2 linked regions of the Oryza sativa Japonica Group genome follow. The protein of the gene in region 1 binds, or shares a complex with, the protein of each later gene. Links are inferred from orthologs where the notes say so. Each region holds a gene or a part of one and is shown in the gene's direction. Other genes may lie near its edges.

Region 1 (5,347 bases):
AGCTTGATGTTTTTTACCTTGTGTATTGAGTTCCTTGTATAATATGATGGGTCATTAATCATGCATTGGGCATATATCAGAATTTATTTCTCTTTGTTGAAAAAGTCTGGTTTTCTGTAACAAGATTTTTCTGAGATAACACAAACACAAGTTCAAGAATATTAGCATCTTCATTTTTCTCCCTTTTATTGCAAAAACATCCTTTTCAGTAATTGTTTGTCAAATTTGATGCCACCAACCGACTTTAAAACATGATGCAGCTAAATCATGAAACTTTCTGGAAATCCTTTCAGGCATAAAAGTTTAGATATGTATGCCCTAAAAATAGTTTGAATACAAATACTTTGCTTGAATTCCTTCGAAGAATTTGCAGCACACAAAAAAAAATCAACAATGACTTGTCAGCTCTTTGTGTGTGATATTCATGCATGATGGTCAGATTCTTTTATGCATTGATTAACCTTATCTTCCTGTCTAATGATTATGATACACACCATTACAAAATTGTGTAGACCTGCATAAGGACTCAAAGGATGAAAGCAAGGTGTCAATGAACAAAATAGAGACCCACAAGAATGAAACTCATGGTACAAGCGATGATATAAATGAGAATACACCAGTTGAGAGAGTTAAAGGTCCAAATGTGTTTGAGCGTGCCAAGGAAGAGATTGAAGCTATTGTTGAAGCCTTCCACCCAAAGAAGGGATCTGACAAGTGAAGATTGAGATGTTCTGTTGCCTCTGTCTGCACTTGATGTGAAAACATTGACATGAGTTATTAATAGATCCATGGATGAGTTGTGAGATATCCATCGGCTGGTCTTATTATTGCCAAACTATGGAGTTGTAACTGTTGAATGGTTCATTGTACCACTGATATATATATGAGCAGAGTGTGTATCATGTGTGACATGAAAGTATTACTGTTCTTCAGTGTTTGATTTTAGTGTATGTTGAACTTAGTCCTTTGCATGATATGGTATTTTACTTGCTACCATACATGCAAAAATCTTTTGAGGTGCATAAATAAAGAGAGAGTCAATTGCTGTACAATTTTATAACCTTATGCTAAGCCTGTGGTTTGGGTTCAACATGCTTCACAAAATAACAGCATTTCCTTAGTGAAACAAGACAGAAACGCGAGATATGAACGATATGATACCTCAAACCCCATGTTCTTTGAAAAATAAAATTTTGAGTTAAATGTTGGTGTTGCTACACCTAGTAGTATAGAGTCTTGAAAAAAATTCCTCTCTTTTGATTTGTGTGGTTTCAAACGCTTCATCTAATTGATCATTCCTGTTATTTTCCTATCCATAAGATTTGAGGGAACTATTTCGAAGGATCCTTTCTCAAGACTCTAAACGGTGTGATTTTCTTAAAACTTTTTGTATAAATTTCTTAGAATACTGTTCTAATATTTTTTTTTAACTTTATACTCCATCCGTATTTTAATGTATGACGCCGTTGAATTTTTGACAAACGTTTGACCTATCGTCTTATTCAAAAAATTTATGTAATTATCATTTATTTTATTGTGACTTGATTTATCATCAAATGTTCTTTAAGCATGATATAAGTATTTTTATATTCGTATAAAAAATTTGAATAAGATGAATGGTCAAACGTTGGTTAAAAAGTCAACGGCGTCATACATTAAAATACGGAGGGAGTAACATTTATTTAATTTGTTTGTTCCCTCGAATAATTATCGCAACATTACGCGAAGCAACAACTCAAATAGATATTTCATATTATTTTATCAATGAATAAGATCTCGTCGTTGGCTTCTCATCACAAAAAAAATAAATATAAATTTATTAGAATATTGTTTTAACCTATTTTTTAAAACTTTATAACAGTTATTTTATTTGTCTGTACCCTCAAATAATTATTACAATACTGTACAAAAACAAATCAAATAGGGATTTCATATTATATTTTTTAATAATGAATAGATCTGGCCGTTGGTTTCTGATCTAAAGGCCCAGCCCAACCAGCCGCTGTCTCTTCCCCCCACTCCTCGACTCGCTCTCGCTTCCGAAGCAGCGGCGGCGGCGGCGGCGAGGCGAGATGGCGGCGGCGGCGTTGGCGGGGATGGACGCGCGGGGGTGGGACGAGGCGGCGTACAGGCGGGGCATCCTGCGGGAGCGGGACCTCTCCTGCCGCACCCTCTTCCGCGCCGTCTTCTTCGACCACCACGACGACGACCCCGACGTCCTCCTCGCCGCCGCCTCCAGCGACGGCTCCCTCGCCTCCTTCTCCCTCTCCTCCTGCATCTCCTCCTCCTCCTCCCATCCCACCCCACAGGTTCGTTCGTTCCCCACACCCGCTCCATGTGCCGCGTCCTCGTGCGCAGCTAAGGTGTTCGATCTTTTGTTTTGATTTGATTGGATTCAGACCCACCCGGATGCCGCGGTCTCTCTGGTTGATCCCGTCTGCATCGTCCAAGCGCACAGTGGCCCGGCCTACGACGTCAGGTTCTACCCGGATTCGCAGCAGCCGCTGCTCTTCAGGTGAATTGCTGTGCTGCTGCTCGTCTTCTCGGTGGCCGTTTTTGTTCAGGTGACATGGCATGACATTTGGCGACGTGATCCGTTGGTTGTGGCAGCGGCGGGGATGACGGGCGCCTTCGGGGATGGAGATGGCACGAGATGCAGAGCTGCCTTGTGCCGCTATCTCTGCAAGGTGCTGCAAAAGAACCCTCACTTCTTACTAGGATTGACTTGGTTAATTAGTTTGGTGTGTGCTTTACCTAGAAGTTCTACCTGTACTTGCTTGCGCACACCCCACAAAGAAAAGGCTAAATTTTTAACAAAGATGTAAAACATTTTGCAAGTCCCATTTCCTTTTCTAGTGCTCTAGTGCATGTTTTTTTTGTGGGGCTAATGCATGTTGTTTAATAGGTTACTTTGTCATTGCTTTTCTTTCCAGGGGATCATTTGGAGCCAGTACTTGATTTGGTGAACCCTCAGCATGAGTAAGTATTCTGTGAAAAAGGACATACATCTGATAATCATTTGACATATCGTTTATTCTAGAGAAATATGCACTTGCACTCTCATCCTCCATCTTTTCAGAGCTTTTGTTTTCGATTTTGTAGGGGTCCTTGGGGTGCTCGCTCTCCAATACCTGAAAACAACGCCATTGCGATTAACAAACAGGTCAACACCAGAAAGTCTGCATTTTCACTTCATCCAAAGAAGCAAAATAATCTCTTGTGTGCATTTTTGTTCATCGTGTATATTATATAGAAATGATGCATATTGTTACTTGCTTAAAAAAAGATATCTTATTCAGTTATTCTTTCTCATCATTCTTCTTCGCAACAGGAAGGATCTGTTTATGCAGCGGCCGGGGATGCATGTGCTTATTGCTGGGATGTGGTATGTATTTTCTTGAGGTAAATGCAATATATAGAAGTCCTGAGCTACATGGAAGGAACTACAGATTTCTTATGATTCATGTGGCACAGGCTTCCATAATTTTCTATTTTCTGTGTGCCTGCTTGAGAAAATATCTGATAGTAGGTTTTACAATGTCTTGTTCTTTCAGGAGAGTGGTAAATGTAAAATGACCTTCAAGGGACATACTGACTATTTGCACAGCATTGCAGTCCGCGAAGCGAACCGCCAGGTTGGTTTGTTATTATTGTACTGATGTAGTCCAATACCATTTTCCCATAGATGTCTTGCCTTCATTTTGTAGTAACTTTTAGTTAATAGAGCCTTTCCTTTTTCAGGTAGTTACAGGATCAGAGGATGGCACAGCCCGTATCTGGGGTGAGCAGTGCTTTTGATAGGATAATTTTGTCTTGTACTTGAAGTGTGCCTTCTCATGTTCATCCTGTTCTAACTGGTCATTTTGTATATCTGCTCGTTGATTCAAGCAAAGAAAAAGCACCAACTAGCTATTTGTCTTTTTGTACTCTTTAATTCACATCTGGTGATCTGGTCACAGGTCACATCATATTCACAAAATTTATCCTCTCTCTTATGAGTTTACCTTCAGACAGGTTTAGAAAGATTTGGCACTACATGGAAATCCATAAAAAGGCATTCTCTTATTTCTGCTCTTTGTGCACTGCAGATTGCAGAAGTGGAAAGTGCACTCAGGTTATACGTCCGGTGAAAAACAAGATTTTTGAGGGGTCATGGGTCAGTTGTGTTGCCATTGATGCAAGTGAAAGCTGGCTGGTAGGATGCACTTCAAGCTGATATAACAATGTGTTATGCATCATGTATTTTACAGTTATTATTATCTTGGTCCTATTTTTCCCAGGCTTGTGGTACTTCTAGTGGTATATCAGTTTGGAGCCTTCTTTCAAATGAGTGCATCTTTAATGTGGATTGCCATGCTCCTGTTCAAGATTTGCTGTTTGACAGAAACCAAGTAAGTCTATCTATTCGTCATGTTCAAGCTAGAGTTTAGCAAACCAGTAAAATTGCCCATGGTTAGAAATGGCTCATCTTGTATTTCAAAGATGGGCTGGCAAAAAATTTAGGACGGATCATTCCATTCTTTAGTCTTTGTGAGTTTAACAAATGCTATACCTGTAGTAAATTAGTGTTCCCCTAGTCAATTATTTCCATTAACAAGTCATATGATAGTTCCACAAGTGCATGATTTATCTATTTAACCAATGCCCTTTCTAAATTTTTTTATGCATAATTGTTTGCCAAATGAAAGTTTGCATAATTGTGTGGATATGAAATTATTATCAGATAATCTCTCAGATATGCACAGAAAATGCAATAAATTATTTCCTGATGATTTATGACATGGTTGCCAAAATTTGAAGCTTTGTGATGTTATTGTTGGAGAGAAACAGAATAAAATCAAAAGCTTTTGCTTCCAAACAAATATAAGAGTGACTCTTCAGCCAACTAGTTATTATTCCTGCAAGGAAAGCTTTTTATTATTGTCTGCTCACATCTATTAGAGATTTACCAAAGCAATGTTGAGTCTGGCGATAGACAATAGAGCAGCACGAAGGATGCATTGTTTCCCAACTCTTGTGGTTTAGGAATTATCAACTGTTTGTTTTCTTATACTCCATTTTCACCATTCAGATCTTAGCAGTCGGTGCTGAACCTCTGCTCTCTCGTTTCTCTATCAATGGGACTCTTCTTTCACAAATCAAGTGTGCTCCTCACTCAGCATTTTCTGTCTCCATACATTCTTCAGGGGTATGTCTGTCTGTCTCTTGATTCTCATTTTGAAATGACTTGGGTATCTGTTTCACCCTACTTCTGGAGTCTGGCCGATTTGTCCTGAGTTTACTACCTTTGTTGTGCAGATGGCAGCTGTTGCTGGATATGGAGGCCTTGTGGATGTAATATCACAAT
Region 2 (5,659 bases), about 4.7 Mb from region 1:
ATTTAGGAACATTGGCATTATTAATATTTTGCATACATGCTCAAGCCGATTACTTACATTTTTAGTTTATTGGAATCTATGCATGTGGCACATATGACTTTGGTGATTCATTATTGATCATACTTCAATTGGCTAAGTGTTGTGATGCCATGATGATTATTGTTTCAAAAGCCAATTGAATTAGTATTCATCTAGACATATTAGTTGAATGTTATAATTTTTCATATATCTAGAGAGAAGGAATTTTGGTCCAATAATTTGATACACCAAGCATTTGGCTATTATGTGAAGAAAAATTATATACTAAAGGCCGATGCTTGATTTCAAAAGTTTGGACGAAATTGGCAAAGTCATAGACCTAGGATGGTCTAACCGGCATTGCACGGCCGGTCTGACCGGCTCTACATGGCCGGTCTGACCGGACAGACAGGGTGGTCTGACCGGCATTGCGTGGCCGGTCTGACCGATAGCGGGCCGAGAGCTGGGGGGCACGTTACAATTGATTAAAAGGCCGAATTAATTGTGAATTCGGACATTTGTGCCCATGAGTTAGAAATAGCTTGGAGAATTCCTTCGATTAGATATTTGAAGATCCTACACTTAAGGTTGATCAGAAGATTCGGCGGCAAGCGCTCAAATATTATATCGCCGAAAAATAGATGGAGTATTACTTAGATAATGATCAGTTTAAAGTTGCTAGGAGAGTAGTACATGAAGGGATTTGTGAAATTCATCAATCGGCCCGTAAGATAAATTGGTTGCTTAGGAGAGTGTGGTTTCATTGGCCGAAAATAATTGATGATTGTTTCAAATGTTATAGAGGGAGTGAAGCTTGTTAACGGATCGGCAATGTTCAATTAGCGCCTACCGCTGTGTTGAATCCTATCATTAAAGTATGGCCGTTCTGAGGTTGAGCTTTGGATTTCATTGGTCAAATTTATCCTTCGTCATCAAAAGGGCGTTGGTTCGTGCTAGTTGCAATGGATTACTTCACTAAGTGGGCCGAAGCCGTGCCGCTCGAGAATATTACTTGTACGGAGTGAGAAGTTTTGCCGAATCTTATGCTATTAAGTTGATGAGTTCTTCTCTTTACTACGCTCAGGCTAATGGATAAGCCGAGTTGAGTAATAAAACATTGTTGAAATTGTCGTTTTGCCAGTTGGGGTAAATCTTGGCTCTCTTCGGTATTTCAAGCAAGACGACTTGTCGGTTGAAGATTACAAGACCTTGATGGGAAACAATTTTAAAGACGTCATCGACAAGCGTTTAAAGACTTTGAAGGAGATGAAGACACTTCAAGACGGTGTTTTCAGAGAGCAATTAATGGGAAATACTTGAAGAAATATTTCCCGAGCATTTGGCAAGATGCTTAGGAAGTCCTATGGGCGGTAATTGGATTATCACCCTGACATAACATGTTCTATGCTTTTAGGTTCACGTATGTTTACAAAAAAGGCAGGGGGGCATGTGTTTACACCCAAATTTGGCACCTATGGACGAAATAGAGGAAAATTGCCAAAGTTTGGAAAGTGACGGGTTTCCTTCACAGGGCCGGTTAGACCACAGGTGTGTGGGCGGTCTGACCGTCTAGTAGGGCCGGTCTGACCGCAGGTATGTGGGCGGTCAAACCGTCAGGGTCCGAGTCCGAGTTTGTTTTCGTCGGGTCTCGGGTTTCCTTGCCTGGGAAGGTAGGTTTCGTGTTTCCTTTGGTTTCTATCCCGAGTTGGATATGGAGAAGGGCCTGTAGAGGGTAAGACCAACCCCTATTTAAGGGACAAGGCCGGTTCATTGTAAAACCCCCGAATACAATTTACTTGAATCGTTCTTTTACCATGTTTTCTATTTTACCCTAGTTTTAATCCATCTTTGTCGGTTTGCGCCGTAAACCGTCCGCCGCCGCTGCGAGAGTGCGACACCTCTTTGTAGATTTGTCCTGAAAACCTTCCGTATTGCCTATGAGACAGGTTAGTTATCCTCATATCGATCTAAATCGGCTTAGAGGCTGATTTTTGATCTCTAAATCGGCTCCGCTAGCCGGTTTAGCTGTTTTTCTACAAAACCCATCTTGATTTGGCCGTTTGGCTAGATCGAGGTGGTTGGCGACTCCATATCACCGCAAGGCGTTTAGGTGCTGCGATCGTAATTGTCGACTTGTCACAAAAAGTTGCCAACAGCCGCAGCGGCTGTCCCCTCCAAAGAGGTGGTGGAGAGAGATGAGAAAAAAAAAGAGGGGAAAGATGAATCTAAGAAGACGAAGATGGATGGAAAATATTACTATAGTGGCATGGTTCTAATTTTATAAAATTTCAATGTCACAATTAAAAAAGACGAATTGTAATAACATTTATCGGTATATTTACAATGGCATGGATTCAATTAAACAAAAACCAAAGGATGTGTCCATGGCTCCATGGTAAGGATAACGCATGAACTTGTGGCATGAATAAACAAAAAAGTAGAAGGACGTTTCTGCGAAAACCCTCTCCTCTTCCCCGCCGACGCCGTCCCCGGCTCTCCCTCCTCCGTCTCGCGCCCGCCGCCGCCGCCACCGCCACCGCCGCCGCCGCCTTGCGCCTCGTGACGCGGTGAGTGGGGAATAGCAAAACCAGACCCGTGCCCCAGTCCGCGGGGACAATGGAGGGGAAAGAAGACGACAGACGGCGGGGCGGCGGTGGCGGAAGCTCGACGCCGGGGATGAACCTGAAGAACCTGGTGTCGAGGGAGTATTTCGGCCACAAGAAGAAGGTAACCTTTTCGATTCCCCCCTCACCAATCCTACGCGGGGATAAGTTTTTTTCTCATGAGGTCCTAAACCCTCAAAAGTCCTGCGAGGGGGAAGCCCTAAAATCCGGATGTTACAAGCAAAAATTAGGACGAAAATGCATCCATCTTTGGTTCACACGTACGGTTTTGTTTCTAATTCTAGAGCAGGATATAGTGATTGATTCCTCGCGTTCATGCCGTATATATGCTGATTCTTTTGCTCTAGGGCTAAGCCATGTTGAGATTGAATGAAGCTTTGGTTGGTTGCTTTCCTTCTGGGAGCTGGTGAATGAGCGCATTGTCAAATATGATTCCTGGTCATAATTACTCCTAATTTTTGAAGGAATTTGGTTTCACGAAAAGGGACTTCTTGTCTGACTTTGTAAAGTTGCTACTCCTCTGAGGGGAAGAATTCAAAGGGAAAAAAAAATCTTACTTGCAGAAAGAATCATAGTACAACGATATTTCTCTGTTTCTTTCTTGAATTCTGTTTCTTGTTTTTCTAAATAATCCTTCCACACATGGAGGTGCAGCATTTAACTGGTTCTGTCGCTTTTTGCCTTCTTTTTTATCTATCTTACATACATAATCAGCCTTAAATTTTGTATAATTCTGATCTTTTGTTTTACTGTTAGGTGCACTCTGTAGCATGGAACTGCCTAGGCATGAAGCTTGCTTCAGGCTCTATTGATCATACTGCACGTGTATGGAGTATCGATCCCCATGGCCATGTAAACATTCTCTCCTTTCCTGATTGCAAACAAAATAACCTTCATTGTTATTATGGAATTATTAGATAAACGCATTTATTGTCATTCACTATGAATAACTGTCACCCTTTTTTTATGAACATTTCTATAAATTTGAAAGATAAGCATGATGATTAATTGGAAATATCTCCCGCTGTATAATTTAAAATTATAGAAACTCAGACAGTAATCACACTTAAGCATACCATAGCCTGTGTCTCTGAGACATATGTTTGAGCTATTTAATGTGAAATTGTGAATGATTTCTTAGCTAGGGGTTCTTTTGGATCCCTCAGTTGTACTTATTTCTTCTTCTTAATGAAAGGAAGCGCAGCCCTCCTGCGGTTTTGAGGAAAATAAATTCTAAGCTAAATTATATTGTTTTGAGAACACTAAGACATTTTTGGTTGGAACGTAGGAGGGGAAAAAACCCCAGATGGTTTCTATTTCCCTGGAAGTACCAAGTCAGTACTGTGCTGATTAGGGTTTTTATATTGCACAGTCCAAGGTTAAAGACATTGAATTGAAAGGCCACACAGATTGTGTAGATCAGCTCTGCTGGGATCCGAAGCATCCTGATACAGTTGCTACAGCAGCTGCTGACAAGTCAATTCGCCTCTGGGATGCACGGAGTAAGTGGTTCCCTTCATCTTTGAAGGTTAAAGAACTAAGATATCCACAGTTGTGTTCAGCATTCTCAGCTTCTCTCTGAAATTGATGAATCCCTTTTTGTCACTTTGTTCAATCCCTATGTTCCATTTACAATGAACTTGTTGTTACCAGACAAGATGTCTTATTCTTTTGTGTAGTGACTCTACCTGAAAGTTAGTTTCAGAATTTTTTTAGTTGTACTTCGATTTTTTTCATAGGATTGTACATCATACTTTTGATTCTCTATTTATAACTCTACAAGATTTGGGCCTGCAGTTTGCCTTTTAAAATTATATTATTTATTTGACCCGCTATTTCTCAAACTGTTTGACGTGTTCTTTTCCAGGTGGAAAATGTCAAGTCGTCGAACTTAGTGGAGAAAACATCAATATCACTTATAAACATGGTGGTACTCAAATAGCTGTTGGAAACAAGGTATGTATTGCCTAGGCTGTTATCCCTGTTAACTTCAAGAACGGTAGTCATTTATGACTAAGGAACTGGTTTTGATTTGCATATATCATGCCAGAAGAGGGTTACAATATTTTGAAAGGAATTTATAAAATTCTTTCCAAAGAGAAATGTGTAACTATAATCTGATTTATATTAGATTGAGTGATGAGTTATTTGGCAAATTAGCATCTAAATTGCAATGTTCATTCTTGTGTTTGACATGCTCTCTGTATAAGTATCAATACAACATAGCTCAGTATGGACACACTTGAATATATACATATTGATCCTAAATTAGATGGAATTATTTACTTTTTTTGCTATGCAAAGTTAGTAAAGTGTTATTGAGCATGGGGACTGGGGAGTGGTGTGTAAATTTTATAATAATTGTAGTAAACCTATTTTTATAAAGTTTACAAGTTAGTTCGCAAGGTCCCGCGTACACCAATGTGTTTACTTTGTGAGTTCTAGTTTTATAAAATTGTACAAGTGTAGTAACAGCTGTCACTATGATTTGCAGGAGGATGAGTTGACAATAGTGGATGTTCGGAAGCTAAAAGCCCTTCACAAATTTAAGTTTAATTATGAGGTACTTTCCACTTGAAGGTTTGAATTGTTGAAACATTCTTCTAGCAATTTTCTTCTTCCTTTTGGAATCTTTCGCTGCTCTGAATGAACATGCACATATAGTCATATACCTTTTGAGAAAAAGTAGAGTGGGCATAAGTCGGCAGCATGTGCATCTTTGTCTGGAACAGGAAAATTGCCTGCTGGTATTTGAATTAGTACTGACTACTGAGTGTGAATTACCTAACTATTCGATGTACTTTAATTTCATTTGCTGCATTACTTATGTTGCAGTTTTGTAAATTTTCTATTTCAACTAGCTAAATGCCCGTACACCTGCTACTGATAAAAATGAATCATATAGCTCCTCAGATCAGTTAACTTTTCTGAAGTAAATTATTGATTTGTTGTTCCTCAGATAAATGAGATTGCATGGAACAAAACTGGAGATTTATTCTTCATCACTACTGGACTTG

Evidence for each region.
Region 2: THO complex subunit 6 (region 1) and THO complex subunit 3 share a complex: the UniProt entries of both Arabidopsis thaliana proteins name them as parts of the THO complex. The link is inferred for Oryza sativa Japonica Group from reciprocal best matches to the Arabidopsis thaliana genes DWA1 and TEX1.

What each region holds. Positions count from the first base shown.
Region 1 is NC_089043.1:16,266,097-16,271,443, reverse strand, and holds the start of THO complex subunit 6, read left to right. Parts: upstream 1-2,017; 5' UTR 2,018-2,072; coding exon 2,073-2,309; intron 2,310-2,399; coding exon 2,400-2,515; intron 2,516-2,610; coding exon 2,611-2,687; intron 2,688-2,933; coding exon 2,934-2,979; intron 2,980-3,102; coding exon 3,103-3,163; intron 3,164-3,331; coding exon 3,332-3,385; intron 3,386-3,554; coding exon 3,555-3,639; intron 3,640-3,741; coding exon of another isoform or gene 3,742-3,745; coding exon 3,746-3,781; intron 3,782-4,088; coding exon 4,089-4,195; intron 4,196-4,280; coding exon 4,281-4,391; intron 4,392-5,071; coding exon 5,072-5,188; intron 5,189-5,298; coding exon 5,299-5,347. Other genes in the region: uncharacterized protein, read left to right, coding at 513-718. UniProt on the Arabidopsis thaliana protein: Acts as a component of the THO subcomplex of the TREX complex which is thought to couple mRNA transcription, processing and nuclear export.
Region 2 is NC_089043.1:11,599,957-11,605,615, forward strand, and holds the start of THO complex subunit 3, read left to right. Parts: upstream 1-2,457; 5' UTR 2,458-2,634; coding exon 2,635-2,745; intron 2,746-3,398; coding exon 3,399-3,494; intron 3,495-4,014; coding exon 4,015-4,144; intron 4,145-4,509; coding exon 4,510-4,598; intron 4,599-5,136; coding exon 5,137-5,205; intron 5,206-5,601; coding exon 5,602-5,659. UniProt on the Arabidopsis thaliana protein: Acts as a component of the THO subcomplex of the TREX complex which is thought to couple mRNA transcription, processing and nuclear export. Contributes to the integrity of the endogenous trans-acting small interfering RNA (ta-siRNA) pathway.